4 linked regions of the Callithrix jacchus genome follow. The protein of the gene in region 1 interacts with the protein of each later gene in a biochemical or structural test. Links are inferred from orthologs where the notes say so. Each region holds a gene or a part of one and is shown in the gene's direction. Other genes may lie near its edges. The genes, in order: MAPKAPK2, ZFP36, HSPB1 and ZFP36L1.

Region 1 (5,819 bases):
GTGACCAGTCTTCATGAGAAATTCTTGCTGTGTTTCTCTAAGAAATTAAAAATACTACCTTTTCCAATTTACTTCAGGACAGAGAGAACAGCTCACCCTCACTCAATCACTGGGGGAGAGAGTTTAGTAGGGAGAAGATGCAACAGAATGAGGGGGTGTTGGCTCAGTAATTCCTAACCACTAAGTGAGGGAAGGAAGAGGGGAGGGAGTAAACAGAAATCAAATTAGATCTTGCCCACTGGAAATGCAGTTAGGTTGGGGAGATAAGGCATAAATATGCAAAATGGTAATTTTTTTTGAAAGTGAAAAGTACCCTATAGAGAGTTTTTGAAGCATCTTCAAGGATATCGTTTTATGAAGTTGAATCCAATTTTATAGATGAGGAGACACTTTTCAGGAAGATAGATGACCTTGCCTGACACAAGCTAGGAAGTGCAGAACCGGGATTCAAAATGCATATGATTCCAAAGCCCAGGTTCACTGTGCTGCATCTGTCTGTCTCCTCTAATGGGAAGAGATTTTGTGCAAGTCTGGAAGTGCAATGTGGACCCAGCCCTTCTTGCTGCAGAGACTCCTTTGCCTTGTGCCATGCACTCTTAACGTGTCTAGGGCAGAAAGCATGGAACTTGCAGTGGGCTCTGGGAGTTCAGGGGGTGTCCGGGAGCACGCATTTGGGTTTGGACCTTGGTGCATCCCACTTAGCACAGCTCTGGTTGGCAGATGTCCTGGTGGTGGTCACTGGGCTGAAGACAGAAACCCAGCTTACACTCTTGCTTGTAACTCGTACTGGTTACATCCACATGCTCCAGGCTCAACTCAGTGGTGACAGAGGGACCTCCCTCTATCGTGGCACTAATGGTACTGGTTGACAGTGATGAATGCCTTTCTGATAACAATGCATTTTTAGAGATATTATTTCATTAAATGCTCATGATGTTTCTGTGAGTGGAGGCTAGGCAGATATCACTCCTAAATGCCTGTGGCACAGGCTCTGAAAGGTAGACCTCTGTGAGGCTGTGCAAGAAGAAATTGACAAATTTCAGACCTGGCCAAGTCTTCCCCAGCTGTAACTCTACAACCACGCATTGCCTCTGAGTAAATTTGACGACTTGATTCTTCTCTGAGCTCCAGTTCCTGTGTGCCTGTAGGGGGTGATAGAGGTTGTGTCTGCTTAGCTGCTCTGGAAACCTTGTTCCTGAACCCTTGGGAATTTAGCACTCTTACAGCATGTAATCTCACAGGATTTTCTGTGTCTCCCCTCACATTTTCTGACCCCCCACTAACCTAGGCTCTTCCAGATCAGGATTCCACTATTTGGTTTTGACATTCAGTGCAATCAATGTATGACCCATAATAGGAACTCAGAAAATGCTTGTTGGATTGAATTATATACAAAGGAAATTGGCCAGTGCCTTCTCCTGCTCCTCTTAGAGCATGTGAAAGTAAACTTTTTTCCTGGTACATCCAAATATATGAAGTTGAAGAATGGGTGAAGTGGCTCACGCCTCTAATTCCAGCACTTTGGAAGGCCAAGGCGGGGTATCACTTGAGACCAGAAGTTTGAGGCCAGCCTGGCCAACATGGTGAAACCCTGTCTGCTAAAAGTACCAAAAAATTAGCCAGACATGGTGGCTCACACCTGTAATCCCAGCTACTCAGGAGGCTGAGGTGGGAGAATTGCTTGAACCTGGGATGGGGAGGTTGCAGTGAGCCAAGATTGTGCCACTGCACTACAGCCTGGGCAACAGAGCGAGATCCTGTTTCAAAAATTTTAAAAAGCCCAAATGAAGTTGAAAGTAGCAGAACTCAAGACCCATGCGGTGTCCTCAGATGGCCACAAGGTGGCAGTGTGACCTCATAGGAATCTTGACTCCTGCAACTATTGGCTCCAGCCAACCATGACTCCATGGGAGAGACCCAGTTATCTTGTGCTTGATTCCCTCTAGACACCTGATGGGGAATGGCCTCTGCAAAGTCAGTCTGAGAAGTCTTGGTTTCCAGCCTCCTCTAAAAGCTGGGTGGTATGGTGGAAAGACTTGGTCTTTGGAGTGTACCAGGCCTGGATTCCAGCCTTGGCTCTGCCTTTTCTCAGAAATGTAGCCTTGGGCATGCTACTTTCCCGAGCTTTAGCTTCCTCATCCTGTAAAATGTCAAATGTTGTACAGTTAGGAAAAGCCCAGCACATCATGGGCCATAGCATAAATGTATGCCAGCCTTACTCTTGGAAATGCTTGTTTGCCCTTCCCTGCCATCTGCCATCTCCATCTTGGCCATCTGATCTTATCTGCAAGCTTCAGACACTTTGTGGCAGGTTCTCCCCCTCCCTGTTGTATCATCACAGCTCCACTCCATCTCAGTCAGTCAGCACCTGCTTCCCACGTTTCTTCCCGCCTGGATGCCTTCCCTCTGCCTGTCCATTTTCTTCCTAGCCTGTCTCCTGGACACCCTAGCCCTCTGCTTGTCCAAAGCAGCTGGAGTGTGGACTGCATCTTGACTTCCTATGAAGATGCTAGATCTGTGAGTGTCCTTGTCTTAATTATTTTGGCACCTGTGCTTGCACTTAGCAGACAATCGGTGATAAAAATGACAGCTGTTAGTAAGCACACGTCAGGCACTCTGTGAGGTGTTTTGTGGAAATATTCATTTAATCCTTATAACAAATCTGTGAAACAGAAGCCATTATCCCCACTTTACAAAGGAAGGGTAGATCAGGATGCTTTTGGCCCCAAGCAATAAAAATTTTCATGAAAAGCAGCTTAAACAGTAAGAAAAATTTATTATCTTGTCAGAAAGAAGTCATGAGGTATCCTTGGTGATGTCAGCAAGGATCCAGGTGGTTGCCATCTCTCCTGGTGGCCTTCCTCAGTACACTGGTTTATCCTCTTAGGCCCCCCTTACTGGTCATGATGTGCTTGTCATGGCCCCAGGTGCCGTAAACAGGAGAGATGATATAGGTTTCTTGTGCTCCCTTTAAGAAGCCTCTTAGCAGATTATTACAAAGATCTTGGTCAGTTGAGTTGTAGGCTTGCTCCTGAGCGAGTCACTAGCAAAGGGATTGGAATTAATGAGACTGGCTTAGACAAGTCAAGATTGAACTCCTGAGGCTGGTGAGGAGCCAGCCTCCTTTAACACCCCCAGCCAACTGGTCCAGGGAGAAGAAGGGGCATCAGTGAGGCTCAGCGAGTTGTTACTTGCTCAAGCTTGCTGATCCAGTAATAACTGGATCCATTTAATTAAATGGATGGGACCCAGGTCTTGTTCTGGGCTCACTGGCATAGAAGAAGCTTTCAAAGCATGTTCAGAGTGTCTGTCAAATTAAATGGATTCAAACCAGTGTCTGGCTGACTTCCAAGGCCATCTGTTGCTGGGTTGAAGTCAGCCACAGAGGTAGAGAGACCATCGCTCTGGATTTGGTGTGCTGGGTCTGAGTAATTGCGGAGGTACCTTTTCCTATGGACTTTGAAGTCTCTCCTCTCTCTAGCCCCCTTTCCAATGCCGTCTTGGTTTTTCTCAGTCTGCCTTTCTCCCCCTAACCCTTTCACCCCCTGCTTCCCAGTACCTGACTGCTGCTTGCCTTCTAGAGTAGACATCATGGCCTAAGCTGGACTAAATGGTCCAAGGGCTGATCTCAGTGTAGTTGTCAAGGCCCCAAGAGGGTCATGGTGAGATTTCATAGAGAGCAGATAAGGAACTGCAGAGGCCTCAGGAAATGTGCCGGGGGCTGGAAGGGAGGGGCCAGCGGGAGTGGGGGCTTTCTGGTGTGTTGGTGGTGATGCCAGGGCATGTGGGCCGGGGGCTTAGAGTAGGCCCACGTGAGAGTGCAGTTCCTCAGGAAGTTGTTTGGCCTGCAGATGCTTCAGGACTGCCCCAAGGCCCGCAGGGAGGTGGAGCTGCACTGGCGGGCCTCCCAGTGCCCGCACATCGTGCGGATCGTGGATGTCTATGAGAATCTGTACGCAGGGAGGAAGTGCCTGCTGATTGTCATGGAATGGTAAGCAGCCACTGTTCTGGTCCCTGCCCAGCTTGTCCCCACTCCCCACCCAGGTGCCTTGCCCTCTGAGGACAGCCCAGGCATGGGCCTGAAGCCTGGAATGTCAGCACTTGATTTCTTTTGGGGGCAGTGGAGAGTGGCGGCAGGATGCGGTGTTCTCCGATCTCACTGTGGCTTTGTTTCAGTTTGGACGGTGGAGAACTCTTTAGCCGAATCCAGGACCGAGGAGATCAGGCGTTCACAGAAAGAGGTAGAAATGATCTGCTGTGGGAACAGGTGCAGGCAGGCAGGGCAGTGGAGGTCTGAAGGGGCCTTTACCCCATCCAGCATGCTGCAAGGAGTGCCTCAACTGACCAGGGCAGCTCCTGGTGGCTTTGTTTCTGGGGTGGGTGGTGGCTGTGGGGAGCCTCAGGCTGCACAGAGGTGGGACTGACTGGGCTTTCAAGTCTAATGATGTGTCTTCGTGACTTTCTTTTCACTCCCCCTTCCCTCCCCTCTACAGAAGCATCCGAAATCATGAAGAGCATTGGTGAGGCCATCCAGTATCTGCACTCAATCAACATTGCCCATCGGGATGTCAAGGTGCCAGCTGTTCACAGCCCTGAGCCCGAGTACTGTGGGGTCAGCAGGGGGCCTGTGCCACCCTGGGGATGGTTGCCAGGCCACCCTGCATCCTTGCTGCCTGGTTCCTGAGCATGCCATTCTCTGCCCTATCTGCCCATGGGCAAACCCATAAGCCCAGTAGTGAAACATTCTCTGGCCACATTCAGCCCTGTGGTTCTCCTCAGGCAGAATCTCATAGACACACTCTTGGTTTCTCCGTCCCTGTGGTGTTTACTGCGGGTTCTGTGTGTCAGTCTCTCATCTCCAGGCAGTCTGGTAACCCTGCGGACGCAGACACCTGCCCATAGAGAGCTGCCGCTCCTTGTGGTGGACAGTGCCCTGGATAGGAAAATGGTTGCTGGATGAGCAGAGGAAGGAAGGAACCAGGACCCATTTGGTTTCTGACAGCCCCTCCCAGGTCCAACAGGGTTGCTATTTTTCTGTCTCTCTCTGTAGCCTGAGAATCTCTTATACACCTCCAAAAGGCCCAACGCCATCCTGAAACTCACAGACTTTGGCTTTGCCAAGGAAACCACCAGCCACAACTCTTTGACCACTCCTTGTTATACGCCATACTATGTGGGTAAGTCCACAGGAGGCCCAGGGACCTAGGCTTTTCCCAGAACTTTTCTCAGCCCCCTCCTTTTGGCTGTGTCGGGGGCCGCAGAGCCTAGGAGAGTTATGTCTGTATGGCCCCTTCTGGTGCTGGTTCTGCTGGGACCTGCTGAGAAGCAGGGCTTGTTAGAGCAAAACTACAGTGGAGGAAGTGTAGAGAAGGCTCTGCCAGGAGCTTTTTGAGAAGAGCCATGGTTTCCATCAGATTCTCAGTGGCGTCTGGGACCCAGGTCTTGTTCTGGGCTCACTGGCATAGAGGAAGCTTTCAAAGCATGTTCAGAGTGTCTGTCAAATTAAATGGATGGCATGAGACTAAAAGCAGTCCAGGATTTTTACAATCTTAAGATCCTAGTTCCAGGGTTCCTCGTGGAGGGGGGCATCTGTTCCAGTCCTGGGGCTGTGCTTCGGCTCTTCCTCCTGCGCCCAGCTGCTGCCACCTCATGACAGGCTGAAAGGCTGGGAGGGGGAGCATCTTTCACAGAGAAACTGAGTGGATTGCAGGGTTCTGAGAGCCGGGCCCACCCATGTTGACCTTTGGTTTACAGCTCCAGAAGTGCTGGGCCCAGAGAAGTATGACAAGTCCTGTGACATGTGGTCCCTGGGTGTCATC
Region 2 (5,923 bases), on another chromosome or scaffold:
TAACATGGTGAGAAACCCAGTCTCTACTAAAACTACAAAAATTAGCTGGGCATGGTAGCAGGCCACTGTAATCCCAGCTACCTAGGAGGCTGAGGCAGGAGAAGCGCTTAAACCTGGGAGGTGAAGGTTGCAGTGAACCGAGATCGCGCCATTGCACTCTCAAAAAAAAAAAAAATTGGGTCGCCCAACGCGGTGGCTCACACCTGTAATCCGAGCACTTTCAGAGGCCGAGGCGGGTGGATCACGAGGTCAAGAGATCGAGACCATCCTGGTCAACATGGTGAAACCCTGTCTCTACTAAAAATACAAAAAAATTAGCTGGGCATGGTGGCGCATGCCTGTAATCCCAGCTACTCAGGAGGCTGAGGCAGGAGAATTGCCTGAACCCAGGAGGCAGAGGTTGTGGTGAGCCAAGATCGCGCCATTGCACTCCAGCCTGGGTAACAAGAGCCAAACTCCGTCTCAAAAAAAAAAAAAAACAAAAAAACAAAACAGCTTTCAATCAATGCAACTCTCCATTATAATAAAAGACCTCCACCTTTCCAAGCTTGAGTTTTCCTAGAGGGCAAACCTCAACATAATTTCAGGCCCTGGTATGAGGCCTCTGCCATTTGGTAGCTCGAACTAGAAGAGTAACATTTTTATCCCCCTGGAAAAAAAACCCCCAGTCTCAGCTCAGTGCAACCTTCACCTCCTGGATCAAGCGATTCTCCCACCTCAGCCTGCCCCCTCCCCCTGCCCAGTAGTGGGACCACAGATGTGCACCACACCCAGCTAATTTTGTGTATGTTTTGTAGAAATCGGGATTCGCTATGTAGCCCAGGCTGGTCTCTAACTCCTGAGCCCTGGTGATCCTCCCACCTCCGACACCCACAGTGCTGGGGCTACAGGTGTGAGCCAGGCGGAAGAGTAACTTGACTATGGTTTCCTCCTGCATTAAATGGGCACATCACCTGGCTTGTTAGGGTTACTGCACATACTTAAAGCACTTAGAACAATGATCAGCCCAGAAGAACAGATTATCTGCCTGAAAGTGAAGGGCTAGAGGCGCCCTGTTAATTGGGAAAGGAGGCCCCTTTTCAGCTTCACCAGGTGTCCTGGACCCCAACCCACTCACTCACTCACCCAATCCCAGCAAGTGGTGATCGGGAGGGCGGTCCCAGCCTCCTTATCTGTCTGGGCTTTTTGGGAGTGAGACCACCCAAGGCAGGCAGTTCTTGGAGAATTCTTCTCCAAGGCCTGCTGGTTCTTTCCTGGGGCTTTGTTCTACAGATTTCTTTCTTTAAGTGCTTGTTTCTCATAGTCTTTCTCCTTTTGTGTCCAGTCTTTCCTTCCTTCTTTATTTTTCTCAATGACAACAGGTGTCATCTTTTTTTTTTTTTTTTTAATAATACATTTTATAGAGATGGGATCTCGCTGTTGCCCAAGCTGACTTCAAACTCCTGATCTCAGATAATCCACCTGCCTCACCCTCTCAAATTGCTGGGATTGGCAGAGTTTGGCGGCTCACAACTGTAATTCCAGCTGTTTGGGAGGCCGCGGTGGGAGGATCACTAGAGCTCAGGAGCCCGAGATCGGCCTGAGCAACACAGAAAGAGAGAGAGAGAGAGAGAAAGAAAGAAAAACACAAAAAGTGCTGTGATCACAGGCGTGAGCCACTCGTTCAGCCCCTTTCGGTTTGTTTCTGTGATTCTCCCAACCCTCTTCTCCCTCTGAATCTGTCTCTGGGACTTTCTCTCTCTCCCCACCTTCCCTCCCCTCCTCACCCTCTCTATCCTTCTCTGGGTCTCTGTTGATGTTTTTCTCTCTGCCTCTCTCCCTGTCTGTCTGTACCCCTCTGCGTGTCTCTCGTCGCCCCCGTTCTTCTGTGTCGCACGCACACGCCCCATCGGGCCTCTGCCCTTGTCAATTGCCCCTGGAGCCCTGCCCCCACCTCCGTCCCAGTTCCCTTCTACAAGCCTCAGTCTCCAGCTCTGAAAACTCGGCAGGCGCCCCGCCATCCGCACCCCCACCTCGACTCCCACCCCTGCCCCACGCACTCCCCGCCCGGTCGCGGCTGTCCACCGGCCAAACTCAGGCGCGTCCTGGCCCAGGGCCGGGCGGAAGGGAACCAGTCCAGGGCCAGCCAGGCTGCGCCAGGGGCGCGCGTCCGGGAAGCGCCCCTCCTGCCCCGCCCCCGGCCCCGCCCCAAGCCGTCTATAAGACTCTGGCTCTCCCTGCCAGCCTCAGCCTGACTTCAGCGCTCCCACACTTGGCCGACTTCCTCATGGCCAACCGCTACACCATGGATCTCACCGCCATCTACGAGGTGAGTCCCCGCCACTCGGCACCTGCACGCCTGACTCCCAGCTCTCTAGAGCTGCAAGCTCCGGCCCGGGACTGGAGCTTGCCTCCCTTCTCCAACTGGGGCCCCCTAGTGCGCCAGTTCGGCGCCCCTGCCTTCTACTCTCAAGACCCGCTTGGTGATTTGGAGGTGAAATGGAGCTCTGGTCTCCCGGGTCTTGGCTCAAACATGGGTGGGGCGGCCCGGGAAAGTGGAAAGTCGGAGAACTTTTCTCACACCGAGGCTGCCTGGAGGCGGAAGTGGCCCCCATACCTGGCTCATCCCTAGTGGTTGCTGAGGGCGTGGTTTTGCGCGGAGGCGTGTCTGGGGCTGAAGTCTTAGGGTGGGGGGATCCGACTTACGTCTCTCCAGTCCCTGACCGTAGTTCTCTGAAAACCCTAAAACCAAAGCGATCCGGACTCCTGGGTCAACTTTGCCCGGTTCCTCCAGTTGTGAAACTGGAGATCCCGACGTGTGGGTCATATCCGGGGAGGTCCAGAGACTCAAAATTGGGAAACAGGGGTGCGCTCTGACTTCGGGGACCCCTCTTGGTCCAGCCGGTGAAACAGGAATTCCTGGGTCCCTCGGGATAATGCCTCGGTCGGGGGTAAACTCGGAATCTCCAAATCTGGGTTCCTGGCATCTGGAACCTGGGAGTTTCTGCGAGCGGGTGGGGCTCAGGCCGGGAGCCCACAAACCGGCCTGGCAAGCTCTTGATCCCTGCAGCTGGGGTGGGGCGTCGCCCTGCATATTCGGGTGCCTTAACCGACCCATTTCCGCAGAGCCTCCTGTCGCTGAACGCTGATGCGCCCGTGCCATCTGACCACGGAGAGACTGAGTCCAGCCCAGGCTGGGGCTCCTCGGGACTCTGGAGCCTGAGCCCCTCTGACTCCAGCCCGTCTGGGGTCATCTCTCGCCTGCCTGGCCGCTCCACCAGCCTGGTGGAGGGCCGCAGCTTTGGCTGGGTGCCCCCACCCCCTGGCTTCGCACCGCTGGCTCCCCACCTGGGCCCCGAGCTGTCACCCTCACCCACCTCGCCCACAGCCACCCCCACCACCTCCTCCCGCTACAAGACTGAGCTGTGTCGGACCTTCTCAGAGAGTGGGCGCTGCCGCTATGGGGCCAAATGCCAGTTTGCCCATGGCCTGGGCGAGCTGCGCCAAGCCAATCGCCACCCCAAGTACAAGACGGAACTCTGCCACAAGTTCTACCTCCAGGGCCGCTGCCCCTACGGCTCTCGCTGCCACTTCATCCACAACCCCAGCGAAGACCTGGCAGCCCCGGGCCACCCTCCTGTGCTTCGCCAGAGCATCAGTTTCTCTGGCCTGCCCTCCGGCCGCCGGACCTCACCACCACCGCCAGGCCTGGCTGGCCCTTCCCTGTCCTGCTCCTTCTCGCCCTCCAGCTCCCCGCCACCACCTGGGGACCTTCCACTGTCACCCTCTGCCTTCTCTGCTGCCCCTGGTACCCCTGTGGCTCGAAGAGACCCCACCCCGGTCTGTTGCCCCTCCTGCCGAAGGGCCACCCCTATGAGCGTCTGGGGGGGGGCCTTGGGTGGCCTGGTTCGAAGCCCCTCTGTACAATCCCTGGGATCTGACCCTGATGAATACGCCAGCAGCGGCAGCAGCTTGGGGGGCTCTGACTCTCCAGTCTTCGAGGCGGGGATTTTTGCACCACCCCAGCCCACGGCAGCCCCCCGGCGACTCCCCATTTTCAATCGCATCTCTGTTTCTGAATGACAAGTGACTCTGCCCCGCCAGATCAGTTGGATCTCACGGGGGAAGCCACATCTCTTGCACTGTGGTCTTTGCATGGACCCAGGGCTGTGGAGACTTGGGGGACAGTAATCAAGTAACCCCCTTTTCCAGAATGCATTAACCCACTCCCCTGACCTCAAGCTGGGGCAGGTCCCCAAGTGTGCAAGCTCAGTATTCATAGTGGGGGATGGAGTGTCTTCTGAGGTTCTTAAAAAAAAATGTAGCATATTTAAGGGAGGCAATGAACCCTCTCCCCACCTCTTCCCTGCGCAAATCTGTCTCCTGGAATCTTACGTGCTGTGAATAATAGGCCTTCTCTGCCCCTCCAGTTTTTAGAGATCTGAGGTTCCAGAGTCTCCTGGTAACTGGAACCTCCCCTGAGGGGGATCCTGGTGCTCAAATTACCCTCCAAAAGCAAGTAGCCAAAGCTGATGCCAAACCCTACCCATGAATCAGTGGGTCTTTATTTATGACGACTTTATTTATTCTAATATGATTTTATAGTATTTATATATATTGGGTCGTCTGCTTCCCTCGTATTTTTCTTCCTCTTTTTTTGTAATATTGGAAACGACGGTATAATTATTATAAGTAGACTATAATATATTTAGTAATATATATTGTTACCTTAAAAGTCTATTTTTGTGTTTTTGAAAATTTTTAAATAAACGGAATCTGCGTGTAAGCTGGGATCCTCGCTTCTTCGCGGTCTAGAGACAAGAATGGGGAGGGAAGGGGTTGACTTTTTGGAACCAGTCAGCTCTGCTCCTCCCAGCCCCGCGGCGCTTACCTGGCAGGAAGTGACGTCACCAGGCCTGGCCGTTCACCTGAAAGGGTGTGACCAGGTGAGGTCACCAGATGAGAACTGGGGGAGCCAGTTCCCGGGCGTCGGGGCACCGCGCTCCGGTCTTGCCGAACTCCTTGACCCAGCTCTCCGGCGGGCGCGCGCGAGCGGGTACGGGATGTTTCCGTCCCCACCGGGCCGCGGGAGGCGGGAGGGGCCGGGTGGAGAGGACGGAATGTGCTGGGGCGCGCGCCCAGGGCGAGCGGGGGCGGGCGCGGGGCGGGGCAGCCTGGGGTAACGGAACCCGTTTCGGGACTCGGGGTTCCTGGGGGGCTTCGACGCCTTTGGGATGTTGGGAGGAAGCGGGTTTTAGGGTCTCAAGAGTCTAGGATCTCTACATTTAGGAGTCTCAGGTTGAGTCCCCTGGCGCTTTAGACTCTGGAACCCTGGTGGCTCGGAGTTGCGGGTTTCTGGCCACCCGGGACCCTGGAGCCCAGGAATTACCAGATCTTGGTATTTCCGAACCTTGGAGGCCCGAGGCCTCGGACACCCACCGTGGTTGGCCCCGCGAGGCCAGGGTGTGTGGGTAATAGGGGCCGCGTGTCTAGGAGGGGCCCCGGAGGAACCGCGTCTCCGGACCATACAAGGCCAGCGACGTCGGGACCAGCCCCGGGGCCCAGCGCCCCGCGCCCGGAAGCCGCCCTGCGTCAGCGCCTGCGGCTTTGCCCCGCCGTCCAGCCTTCGCCCCCCGCTGCCCCTCTTTTTTCTCCTTGCCCCCCTCTCCCCTCCCCCTCCCTCCCGCTTCCCTTTGCTCTCCTTTCCCTACCCTCACCCCTCCTCCTCCTTCTCACTTCCTCCTCTGCACCCTCCTGCCCCGCCCTACACCCTTTGCCTTCAGTTCTTCTCTACACCCTCCAACTCGTCCCCTGCCTCATTACTCCTCTCTCCCACTTCTAGCCTCCCCATCCTGCCGTCTCTTACCTCCTTTCTCCTCCTTCCTGTCTCCCTTCTCTCCCTTTTTCTGTCCTTCCTTCCCTCTCCACCCTTTCCTTGCCCTCT
Region 3 (5,138 bases), on another chromosome or scaffold:
CATTAGGTCACTGAATTCTCAGGCCAACCCAGTACAGTCATGAGTCACTTAACAACGGAGCCACATTCAGAAATGCCTTGTTTGGCAATTTCATCGTTGTGGGAACACCTCGGAGTGCACTTAGGTCCTAAGCCGTCCGGTTTAGCCTCCCCCTCCTAGGTTACAAACCTCTACAGCACATGACTGCACCACATATTAGAGGTGGCTGCAACATGATGGTAAGTAGCAGCGTTTCTAAACACAGAAGACAGCCGCGCGGTGGCTCACACCTGTCAGCCCACCACTTTGGGAGGCCAAGGCAGGTGGATTACTTGAGGTTAGGGGTTCCAGACCAGCCTGGCCAACATGGTGAAACCCTGTCTTTACTAAAAGTACAAAAATTAGGTGGTGTCGTGGCACATGTCTGTAGTCTGAGCTACTCGGGAGGCTGAGGCAGGAGAATCGCTTGAACCCAGGAGGCAGAGGTTGCAGTGAGCCGAGATTGGGCCACTGCACTCCAGCCTGGGTGACAGAGGGAGACTCCATCTCAAAAAAATTACAAATAAACATAGAAGACGTACAGTAAGAACACAGTGGTAGGGCGTAGTGGCTCATGCCTGTAATCCCAGGACTTTGGGAGGCTGAGGCAGGTGGATCACCTCAGGTCAGAAGTTCGAGACCAATTTGACCAACATGGAGAAAACCCATCTCTACTAAAAACACAAAATTAGCCAGGCATGGTGGCTCATGCCTGTAATCCCAGCTACTCAGGAGGCTGAGGCAGGAGAATCATTTGAACCCTTGAGGCAGAGGTTGCGGTGAGCTGAGATCCTGCTTATGCATTCCAGACTGGGTATGCAAAAGAGCAAAACTCCATCTCAAATTTAAAAAATATAAATCAACAAAACCACAGTAATATAATTTTTTGTTTTGTTTTTTGAAACAGGGTGGGCCAGGTGTGGTGGCTCATGCCTGTAATCCAAGCACTTTGGAGGCCAAGGCGGGCGGATCACCTGAGGTCGGGAGATCAAGACCAGCCTGATCAACATGGTGAAACCCCCTCTTAAGAAAAAAAAAAAGGAAAAGAAACAGGGTCTTGTTCTGTTATGCAGACTGGAGTGCAGTGGCACAATCAGGCTCACTGCAGCCTCCTGGGCTCAAATGATCCTCCCACCTCAGCCTTCTGAGTAGCTGGAACTACAGATGCACGCCACCATCCCCAGCTAATTTGTTTTGAATTTTAGTAGAAATGGGGTCTCACTGTGTTGCCCAGGCTGGTCACAAATTCCTTGCTTCAAGTAATCCTCCCACCTTAACCTCCCAAAGCCCACACACCTTGCAACCACACAGATTGTCAGATTCCTTTTTTTTTTTTTTTTTTTTTTGAGATGGAGTTTCGCTCTTGTTACCCAGACTGGAGTGCAATGGCACGATCTCGGCTCACTGCAACCTCCGCCTCCTGGGTTCAAGCAATTCTCCTGCCTCAGCCTCCCGAGTAGCTGGGACTACAGGCACGCACCACCATGCCCAGCTAATATTTGTATTTTTAGTAGGGACGGGGTTTCACCTTGTTGACCAGGATGGTCTCGATCTCTTGACCTCGTGATCCACCCGCCTCGGCCTCCCAAAGTGCTGGGATTATAGGCGTGAGCCACCACGCCCAGCCATCCAGCTAATTTTTAAACATTTTTTGGTAGAGGTGAGGTCTCACCATGTTGCCCAGAATGGTCTCAAACTCCCGGCCTCAAGGGATCCATCCTTCCTGCCTTGGCCTCCCAAAGTGCCGATTACAGGCATGAGCCATGCACCCAGCCCCTTTTTATTTTTTTGAGACAGGGCCTTGCTCTGTTGCCTAGGCTGGAGTGCGGCGGTGAGAACATAGCTCACTACAGCCTCGAACTCCTGGACTCAAGCACCAGACTGCTTTACATCACATTCCACACACAGCCTTGTGGTTCCAACCCTGCCTCTGCCACTTCCCAGCTGTTTGCCCCAGCCCAACCTGTCTGGCGCTGTCCTGCTTAACAAAAGGACTGGCCTGGCCGCCGGCCACACCCGCCAGCGCTGAAGCACCAGGGCCTCCGAGTGCCCTAGTGTGGCACGTCTCCAGCGTCGCACTCTCGAACTCATTTGTTTTCCTTAACGAGAGAAGGTTCCAGATTGGGGCAGAACCCTCTTCGCCCCGCCCACGGCCCCCTGAACTCTGCGGATGGGGGGGAGGGGTGCATGGGGAGAGGCGGTCCCAAACGGGTCATTTCCATTAATAGAGACCTCAAACACCGCCTGCTAAAAATACCCAACCGGAGGCACATAAAAGCGCGACCCAGCACCGCGGCCCGCACTTCTCCGAGCAGACGTCCCGGGCAGAGCCAGCCAGCATGACCGAGCGCCGCGTCCCCTTCTCGCTCCTGCGGAGCCCCAGCTGGGACCCCTTCCGCGACTGGTACCCGCACAACCGTCTCTTCGACCAGGCATTCGGGATGCCCCGGCTGCCCGAGGAGTGGTCGCAGTGGTTCGGCACCAGCAGCTGGCCGGGCTACGTGCGCCCCCTGCCCCCCGCCGCGGTCGAGGGCCCCGCAGTGGCCGCGCCCGCCTACAGCCGCGCGCTCAGCCGGCAGCTCAGCAGCGGGGTCTCGGAGATCCGGCACACGGCGGACCGCTGGCGCGTGTCCCTGGACGTCAACCACTTCGCCCCCGAGGAGCTGACGGTCAAGACCAAGGATGGCGTGGTGGAGATCACCGGTGAGCACCCCCTGGCCCTGCAGGGGAGGGGAGGAGGCTAGCGGGGAGGGCGGGGCCCGGGGGTGCGGTTGAAACCCCGGGCCTGGGGAGTTAAAAGTTAGCCCAGCACCGGGAAAAACGGGATCCGTCCGTGATTCCCCTGCTCAGGAATCGGGAGTGCAGGTCGCTTCTAAGGTCGCTTTCTGCTCTGTTATCTCAGCGCCTTGGGAGGCGGAGGCCAGGAGTTCAAGACTAGCCTGGGCAATATAGCGAGACCTCCCCCCCTACCAACTACAAGAAAATTAAAAAGCAACCAAAAATGTTTTAAAAGATCATCGGTGAAGAAATGCTTCTTTCCACGGAACTCTCTCCCCACCCGCAGCCCCATCCGCAGATAAGCGGGTCCCCTGGCGTGGTCCCTGTCCCTAGCCGCGCGAGGGGCGTGCGTGCTCCTCCCAGTGCGCCTGCGCGTTGCTCCCTCCGCCCCTCGGCACCCTGCTCCGTTCCTCCCAAAACTCTTACTCGAACTTTCCGGAAGTTTCTGAGAGCCCGGACAGGCCGGCACGCCCCCACCCCCAGTCTCCTCTGTTAATCCCTGCCAGCCTGCAGTCCTGGCTGCCTCCAAGCTGGAGGTGGGGCCTCTGGCCTGGCGGGGCCGAGAGTCGGTCCCCTTTCCCTCATTCTGATTTTCCTGTCCCCCGAAGGCAAGCACGAGGAGCGGCAGGATGAGCACGGATTCATCTCCCGCTGCTTCACCCGGAAATACTCGTGAGTCCTGCCGCCAGGTCGGGGTGGGTGGGTGCCGGGGGCTAGGGAGGAGGGCACAGGGACCCACCCGAAGTGTAATGTAACGTTCACATTCCCTCTCTGCACGTCCAGGCTGCCCCCTGGTGTGGACCCCACCCAGGTCTCCTCCTCCCTGTCCCCTGAGGGCACACTGACCGTTGAGGCCCCCATGCCCAAGCCAGCCACACAGTCCAACGAGATCACCATCCCTGTCACCTTCGAGTCGCGGGCCCAGCTTGGGGGCCCAGAAGCTGCGAAATCTGACCAGTCTGCAGCCAAGTAAAAGCCTTAGCCCGGATGCCCACCCGTGCCGCCGCCACTGGCCATGCCTCCCCCCCCACCTGTGTGTTCTTTTGATACGTTTATTTGTTTTTCTCAAATAAAGTTTGAAGCAACCCACCTGTCACTGGCTCAGACCCTGGTGTTTGTGGAAGGAAGCTTCGGGCACCTGCCATTCCCTGGCTTACACTAGCCACCTTTGCTCAGGGTGTGCTGGGTGCACAGCCCCGTGCTGGGCCATGTGGGTACTCCCGTGTAGGTTGCTAGGCACAGGCTAATTCACATCCATAAAGACAGAGAGGTCCTATTGCCCGGCATTGTGGCTCAGACCTGCAATACCAGCACTTTGGTAAGTTGAGGCAGGAGGATTGCTTGAAGCTGAGAGTTCAAGACCAGCCTGGACAACACAGTGAGACCCTATCTCTTAAAAATAAAAAGCCAGTTGCAGTGGCTCATGCCTGTAATCCCAGCACTTTGGGAGGCTGAGGGGAGCAGGTCATGAGGTCAGGAGTTCGAGACCAGCCTGACCAACATGCTGAAACCCCATCTCTACCAAAAATACAAAAATTAGCCAGGCGTAGTAGCATATGCCTGTAATGTCAGCTACTCAGGAGGCTAAGACAGGAGAATCACTTGAACCTGGGAGGCAGAGGTTGTGGTGAGCCGAGATTGTGCCACTGCACTCCAGCCTGGGTGACAGAGCAAGACTGTCTCAAAAAAAAAAAATAATAAAATAACAGAAATAAAAATTAGCCAGGGGTGTTATTGCACACCTGTAGTCCCAGCTACTCAGGAGACTGAGGCTGGAAGATTGCTTGAGCCCAGGAGTTGAAGCGTGCAGTGAGCTAAGATTGTGCCTTTGCATTCCAGCCTGGGCAACAGAGCAAGATCGTCTCAATAAATAACTAAAAACTCAGAAAGAGTGAGACCTTGTCTTTAAAAGAAAAAAAAAAAAGGTCGTGATTGCAAGGTCATGGTTGCAATTAAAACTGTAAGGTGTGGAAGCGGAGGAAATGGGAAGCACCTGAGGCTTGAGTTTTCACGGTCGGCGAGGCTGGGGCCCAGGTGAAGGGGCACGGGGGTAATTGCACCTCCCCGCAGAGATTACTGCGTCAGAAGCTTGGCTTCGGCTTCGGCGCACCCAAGGGCACCACAGTGGACCTGGTAAGCTTTGAGGTCGTCACTGCCACACCCCCTGAGGCCAGGGCATCCCTGTTGGCAGTCACAAGGGAACTGGCAGGCAGAACTGGGGTGAGAACGGAGCCCGCAGTCTCTGGGTGGGGAGATTGGGTAGCACCCTGGCCGACGCGCTCAGACCTGTGCTGCTGGCTCTGCCAGCGATTCTTGTTGCCTGTGTTTATTTTCAGTTGGCC
Region 4 (5,839 bases), on another chromosome or scaffold:
GATCACGTAGGTTCCGGCTGCAGCAAAAGTTGTGTTTCGCAAAGTTGAAAACAACCGGTTTCTCAAACAGTTGTGATTTGGAAGGTTTCGCTGGGTTTGCCCAGAGGTTGACGAATAAATAAAAAATGCAGTTAAAAAAAAAATATATGTGTGTGTGTGTTGGGGGTGGTGAGAGTGTGACTCGAGCGCTCTCTTCGGCCCGCCCCGTCCTTTCCAAAGAAACGTGTTCATAATGGGGTGACCTAATTACATCGCAATGGAACTCAATCTTAGCCACTCGGCAGCACCGGATTTCATAACAGACTCGGCGGCCTAGAGTGCTGCGAAGAAACGTGCGAGGGCCGAGGGGGCGGCGAGGCCCGCGTGGAAATCGGAAAGAAGTGCGGCCCTGCGACTTCCGCCTGGGTCATCACGCCAGCACCCGGGCAAAGGCGCAAGGGGCGGGTAGGGGACACGTTAACTTTATATTTGGGTGGGTGGCATCCAAACATAACAGTAAATATATATTTTATCATTTTCAAGGGAGTCATGCTCCATTGCGGGCCCTTAGCTTTCCTGGCTCCCATGTCCGCCTCCCCACCTCCCGCCAAAACGGCACAGCGTGACAAGCCATATGTTCCACTTTCCCGTGGGGGCGAGAGAAGCAACAATAAAAGTGCCGCCTCCGTCCACCTTTTTACCTTCCTTCTTATCAAAGTAAACTTTTTTCATTGTTCTAGAGTCTGGAGGTGTGTGTGGGGAGGATGGAGGAGGAGGGAGTGTTGTGGCGCCGCCCAGACTTCAGGGCGCGCGTGGAAAGTAGTGAGTTGCTTGGTGGGCTTTTTCTGGGAGGAAAGGGCATTCAGGAAGGATTAGGGTTTTCTTTACCAAAAGTTTAAAGATTGGATGCGTGAAAAGAAACGCCACGCCTAGGCCTGGTAAAACAAACAATCGGCCCGGGCTGTAATCTTTTTTTGCGACGCCCCCCACCCGCCCACACCCGGAGAGCGCCGGCTGCAAAGCGAGCGCGAGTGTGGACGCGTGCGGCGCGCTAAACTGCCGCGCTCGCGCCCGCCAGGCCGTGTCCTCCTGGGGAAAAAGTTTCCCTAGTCCCCCCCCCGCCCCCGGCACCGCGCCCCACCCTACGCCCCGCTGGAAAAAAAAACATAAAACCCTAGACTTGAACGTTCTGTGCGTCCCAAATTTCTACTGTACTCGGCCTGCGGGGTTTGCGGAGGGAAGCCGAGTGCGTAAGAGAAGTCGGGAAAAGGTAAGTTGTGCAGACACTTGGGGAAGTTTCAAGGGGACCACCGGCTCAACATGTAAACCGCGGCCCGGGCGCTAAGGACGGGCTTCAGCTCCTGCTGGCAAAAAGAGAAAGTCGAGCCCGCCTTCCTGCCCAACAAAAAACAACAACACCACAACAAGAACCCCGGAGGGAGTGGAATGAGTGACGTCAGAGCCGCGCTCGGAGGCTGACAAAGGAGGGGGCGCGCCCCTCCCGCTTTGCGCCCGCGCGGTCCCGGAGAGGGGCGCTTGAAGCGCTGGGTAGCCAAGTCAGCCGACTCGAAACTTCTTCTTTAAGAAAAAAAAAAGGTTGTGAGCGGCTCGGAGTGGGGTTTTTTTTTTCCGCCTTCTTTTCTTGTCTCCCCTCCCCCTTCTTCCTTTTGAAAGTTTCTTCTCCTCCCCTCCCCCGCCCCGCCTGACCGCATGGCTGATTCAACTCCAGTGTCAATCAACTTCTTTTTCCTCCTCTTCCTCATTTAAATAAGTTTAAAGCTCCTCCTTTCCCGGCCCACCAAATCTGAAACTTTATAAATCGGGCTTTGCGCGCCGCAGCTCCGGAGTCAGAAAGGCGAGGGGCGCTGGGAACTGGCGTGTGGGACTCCAGACCCGAAAGGCTGCGCCTTCCCCTCACCGGGACCTTCGAGACACACCAGATCCTCGCCGCTGGCCCGCGCGAGCGCACAGGATGACCACCACCCTAGTGTCTGCCACCATCTTCGACTTGAGCGAAGTTTTATGCAAGGTAAAGTGGGGCGGAGCATTTGCTTTTCAAAAACTTTTTCTTTTGCTTCAAAAAAGAACCCCCAAAAGTTTGGGTCTCGGAAGGCAGTGGGGAAGGTGGTGCAGCGAGATGATTTTTTTCTCCCAAGTTTGAAGGAATTTGGCCCCGTCCTTCTCACCTTTTGAGTTTCAACCGTTTCTGGCGGGGTCTACGGGCGAATCCGGAGGCTAGAGTTTTGAGGGGCGACGTTTGCTTGGCGAGGCAGCCCGGGGGCCTTGGGAGGAGGGCTGGGATTGGGGCAAGTTTGGGGCGATTCTTTTTTACGTAACGTGCTGTTGGTCTGATGGGTTCCCAGTGTGCGCCCTAGATCTGTCCAGCAGCATTGCTGACCCTTGGGATTGGGAGTGGGAGATCCCTCGGGGAAGTGAGTCTCTGGACGACGTTTTCCTCCCCTTTTGGGGGAGCTGGGGATATGCGAGGAAGAAGGAGGCCAAGTTGTGATTCAAAAAGATGTTGCAGAACAAGTTTGCAGTGGTGCTGGAGTCCGCCCTAGCTCCGTTGGGCTTCTTCCTGCGATAGCCGATCGTGCAGCAAACTTTGGGGTGAAAGAGGCATTGGAGTTGACCTGCTTACCTGTGTTGCCGAGTCGTTGCGGCTGGTCAATTTTTGGTGGCGGGTGGCAGAGGGGAGGGCGGCAAAATGCTGGCTTGAACTCTAGAGTCCCGGGAGTAAGGATTTAATGGGGGCCTCCTTAAAACATGTTGCTTGCCAGCCAGTGTTGAAAAAGCAAGTTCTAAAGTCGGAGTGTTCCAGGACTGCGGTTTAAACGTACATAGCAGAAGCCAATGGATGTTGTTAAATTTCTTTCCAACCTCCTCCTCCCAATTTAAAAGGGCGAAGCTGCTGGGCTGCTTTTAATTGCTGAAGTGTTTTTACCTTCTCTTAACACGTCGGGTCATGTTGCTCTGTTTTCCCAGCTTGCTGCTCCTGTTGGTGCAGTTGCCAAGGCCCCAGGGCTGCAGGGTTGGGGTGCAGGGACGCCGAGGAGCTGAAGAGTAACATTTTTAAAGTTTGAATTTTTCAGCTTCCTTTCCTCCCTGCATATTCCCAAACTCCACTTGCCGGCCTGGCTGCCAGAGCTACCCAACACTTCTTCCTTCTTTTCCCGACTCTCCCGCTCTTTGATCTATTTTTTTCTTTGGCCCCCTCCCCCCTCAGGGGAGGTTTTTAAATGAATGAGGGTTTTAAATGAACCTCATTGTTGGGAACCAGCTCTCGACTGGGTTCCTGTAATCCTCTCGGTGGGGTGGTTGCAGTTACAGATTCGCGATCCCCACCCCCCCCCCCACTGAGCCTAAAGGACCAACATTAGAATTTGCAAAATGACACCCACATGGGCTGGGAACTAACTCCTAGGTACCCGACCTGCACCCTTTCCAAATCTTGGGTACAATTTGGGCAGGTGATCAGGATCCCATTGGACCAGAAACCTGCCGTTGGTGGCTCTGCCCCCATCCCCACCACCCCCAATCTGCTATTGACTGGGAGATGGGTAGGGGGGTTGGTGCTTTCCTTTTCTTTCCATCTGCAGCTTTGCTTAAAGATTAAACACTGGCGCTCTTATCCAAGCCTGCTCCTGCAGCCAGAAGACTAATTGCAAAGGCATCTTCACAGTGAAGGGGGACGGGATGGGCTGGGCATGAGTGGGAATTGTGAGAGAGATCATTGTGGAAAATACCTCTTCCGGGAACTTAGGGCAATGAGTTTTATTTTCAGGAATCACTTCCCTGTCTCCCCCAACCTCAGACCAGGCTCCCAAGCTCCTCCCCACAAGAAAAAGCAAAGGCAGTCTGAAAACCTGTTGCCAAAGGAAGGAGGAAGTTGAGTCCTCTTAGGCTGGGTTTTGAGGGAGGGGGTATCAATTAAGCAGGGACTGATTAGAAGGGGACCTAACCTAGCCTATAACAGTCTCCTCTCAGATTTACCTGTTTTGTTAGGGGAGGGTAATCTGGAGAGGTCTGGGTTGTTTGAGATATTTTGAGTTGGAGAAACTATTTGGGCAGTAAGGAAGTTGAACTTTACAGATTAAAGTGGTAGCTTTGGGGACAGAGGATATGGGGGTTGCACTGCAGGAGTCGGCATGGAGCAGGGTGCTTGTCACACAGTCTGGATTTTGTGGTTTCTTATGCATGGGGCCAAAATAAACCCAGGTGAATGGTCTATAGGAGGGAGAGAGGGAAGGGGGCTTGCTAGAGCAAAGGTGGAGATGGGTTATTTGAGACAGGCGGCGTTTGTGATTGTGGAGAGGGCTGTAGATGTCTTCCATCCTTACCATCCTTTCTCTTCTCTCTCCAGGGTAACAAGATGCTCAACTACAGTGCACCCAGTGCAGGGGGCTGCCTGCTGGACAGAAAGGCAGTGGGCACCCCTGCTGGTGGGGGCTTCCCTCGGAGGCACTCCGTCACCCTGCCCAGCTCCAAGTTCCACCAGAACCAGCTCCTCAGCAGCCTCAAGAGTGAGCCAGCCCCCGCTCTGAGCTCTCGGGACAGCCGCTTCCGAGACCGCTCCTTCTCGGAAGGGGGCGAGCGGCTGCTCCCTACCCAGAAGCAGCCCGGGAGCGGCCAGGTCAACTCCAGCCGCTACAAGACGGAGCTGTGCCGCCCCTTCGAGGAAAACGGTGCCTGTAAGTACGGGGACAAGTGTCAGTTCGCACACGGCATCCACGAGCTCCGCAGCCTGACCCGCCACCCCAAGTACAAGACGGAGCTGTGCCGCACCTTCCACACCATCGGCTTTTGCCCCTATGGGCCCCGCTGCCACTTCATCCACAACGCAGAAGAGCGCCGTGCCCTGGCCGGGGCCCGGGACCTCTCCGCTGACCGTCCCCGCCTCCAGCATAGCTTTAGCTTTGCTGGGTTTCCCAGTGCCGCTGCCACCGCCGCTGCCACCGGGCTGCTGGACAGCCCCACGTCCATCACCCCACCCCCCATCCTGAGCGCCGATGACCTCCTGGGCTCACCTACCCTGCCCGATGGCACCAATAACCCTTTTGCCTTCTCCAGCCAGGAGCTGGCAAGCCTCTTTGCCCCTAGCATGGGGCTCCCCGGGGGTGGCTCCCCGACCACCTTCCTCTTCCGGCCCATGTCCGAGTCCCCTCACATGTTTGACTCTCCCCCCAGCCCTCAGGATTCTCTCTCGGACCAGGAGGGCTACCTGAGCAGCTCCAGCAGCAGCCACAGTGGCTCAGACTCCCCGACCTTGGACAACTCAAGACGCCTGCCCATCTTCAGCAGACTTTCCATCTCAGATGACTAAGCCAGGGTAGGGAGGGACCTCCTGCCTACTCCAACCCCTACCCTGCACCCACACCCCATACCCTCTTCTCCCTACCCATCTGATTCCCCACAAGTCCTACATTAACAAAGTTAAGCTCAACCCCTTTCCCCCAGCACCTCAGAATGTCCCCTCCCTCTCCCCATCATTACCCCACCTAACATAAGGACAAGTCAATTTGTCAGTAGCTTCTTCTGGCTTGAAACCCCCTCCCTGGATTTTATAGCCCACTTATCACGCATAACAGACAAGTCCCATATTTTGTCAGTAGATGCCTCTTTTTTTTTTTTTCTGGCTTAAGCCTTAAGTGCCAAATCACAAAAGAAAAAGCAGTAACAGTTTACAGAAGCAACTTAGTGCCTTGTAATCTAACTTTGTCACTGTGACTACATTACCTCTTCAGCGCCAGAGGGCACCCGTGGGCCTCCCGGAGCCTCTGCCCATGGGGGAGGTGGAGACCCGGAACCAGCAGCCCCCTCCACTGGCGACACAACTGCACCTTCCCTGATTTCACTTACT

The links.
Region 2: of the proteins of MAPKAPK2 (region 1) and ZFP36, one has a biochemical effect on the other in vitro, tested with the Homo sapiens proteins (2 studies listed by BioGRID). The link is inferred for Callithrix jacchus from reciprocal best matches to the Homo sapiens genes MAPKAPK2 and ZFP36.
Region 3: of the proteins of MAPKAPK2 (region 1) and HSPB1, one has a biochemical effect on the other in vitro, tested with the Homo sapiens proteins (17 studies listed by BioGRID and IntAct, with this or other methods). The link is inferred for Callithrix jacchus from reciprocal best matches to the Homo sapiens genes MAPKAPK2 and HSPB1.
Region 4: of the proteins of MAPKAPK2 (region 1) and ZFP36L1, one has a biochemical effect on the other in vitro, tested with the Homo sapiens proteins (2 studies listed by BioGRID). The link is inferred for Callithrix jacchus from reciprocal best matches to the Homo sapiens genes MAPKAPK2 and ZFP36L1.

What each region holds. Positions count from the first base shown.
Region 1 is NC_133520.1:34,222,554-34,228,372, forward strand, and holds the start of MAPKAPK2 (MAP kinase-activated protein kinase 2), read left to right. Parts: upstream 1-2,116; 5' UTR 2,117-2,202; coding exon 2,203-2,517; intron 2,518-3,851; coding exon 3,852-3,991; intron 3,992-4,176; coding exon 4,177-4,241; intron 4,242-4,493; coding exon 4,494-4,573; intron 4,574-5,050; coding exon 5,051-5,177; intron 5,178-5,754; coding exon 5,755-5,819. UniProt on the Homo sapiens protein: Stress-activated serine/threonine-protein kinase involved in cytokine production, endocytosis, reorganization of the cytoskeleton, cell migration, cell cycle control, chromatin remodeling, DNA damage response and transcriptional regulation.
Region 2 is NC_133523.1:34,891,732-34,897,654, forward strand, and holds ZFP36 (mRNA decay activator protein ZFP36), read left to right. Parts: upstream 1-2,227; 5' UTR 2,228-2,266; coding exon 2,267-2,308; intron 2,309-3,105; coding exon 3,106-4,062; 3' UTR 4,063-4,765; downstream 4,766-5,923. Other genes in the region: uncharacterized protein LOC144580767, read right to left, coding at 4,871-5,240. UniProt on the Homo sapiens protein: Zinc-finger RNA-binding protein that destabilizes several cytoplasmic AU-rich element (ARE)-containing mRNA transcripts by promoting their poly(A) tail removal or deadenylation, and hence provide a mechanism for attenuating protein synthesis.
Region 3 is NC_133503.1:11,063,275-11,068,412, forward strand, and holds HSPB1 (heat shock protein beta-1), read left to right. Parts: upstream 1-2,317; 5' UTR 2,318-2,357; coding exon 2,358-2,721; exon of another isoform or gene 2,722-3,162; intron 3,163-3,404; coding exon 3,405-3,468; intron 3,469-3,579; coding exon 3,580-3,769; 3' UTR 3,770-3,889; downstream 3,890-5,138. UniProt on the Homo sapiens protein: Small heat shock protein which functions as a molecular chaperone probably maintaining denatured proteins in a folding-competent state. Plays a role in stress resistance and actin organization.
Region 4 is NC_133509.1:103,772,508-103,778,346, reverse strand, and holds the start of ZFP36L1 (mRNA decay activator protein ZFP36L1), read left to right. Parts: upstream 1-1,828; 5' UTR 1,829-1,951; coding exon 1,952-2,008; intron 2,009-2,165; exon of another isoform or gene 2,166-3,154; intron 3,155-3,853; exon of another isoform or gene 3,854-4,197; intron 4,198-4,342; coding exon 4,343-5,302; 3' UTR 5,303-5,839. UniProt on the Homo sapiens protein: Zinc-finger RNA-binding protein that destabilizes several cytoplasmic AU-rich element (ARE)-containing mRNA transcripts by promoting their poly(A) tail removal or deadenylation, and hence provide a mechanism for attenuating protein synthesis.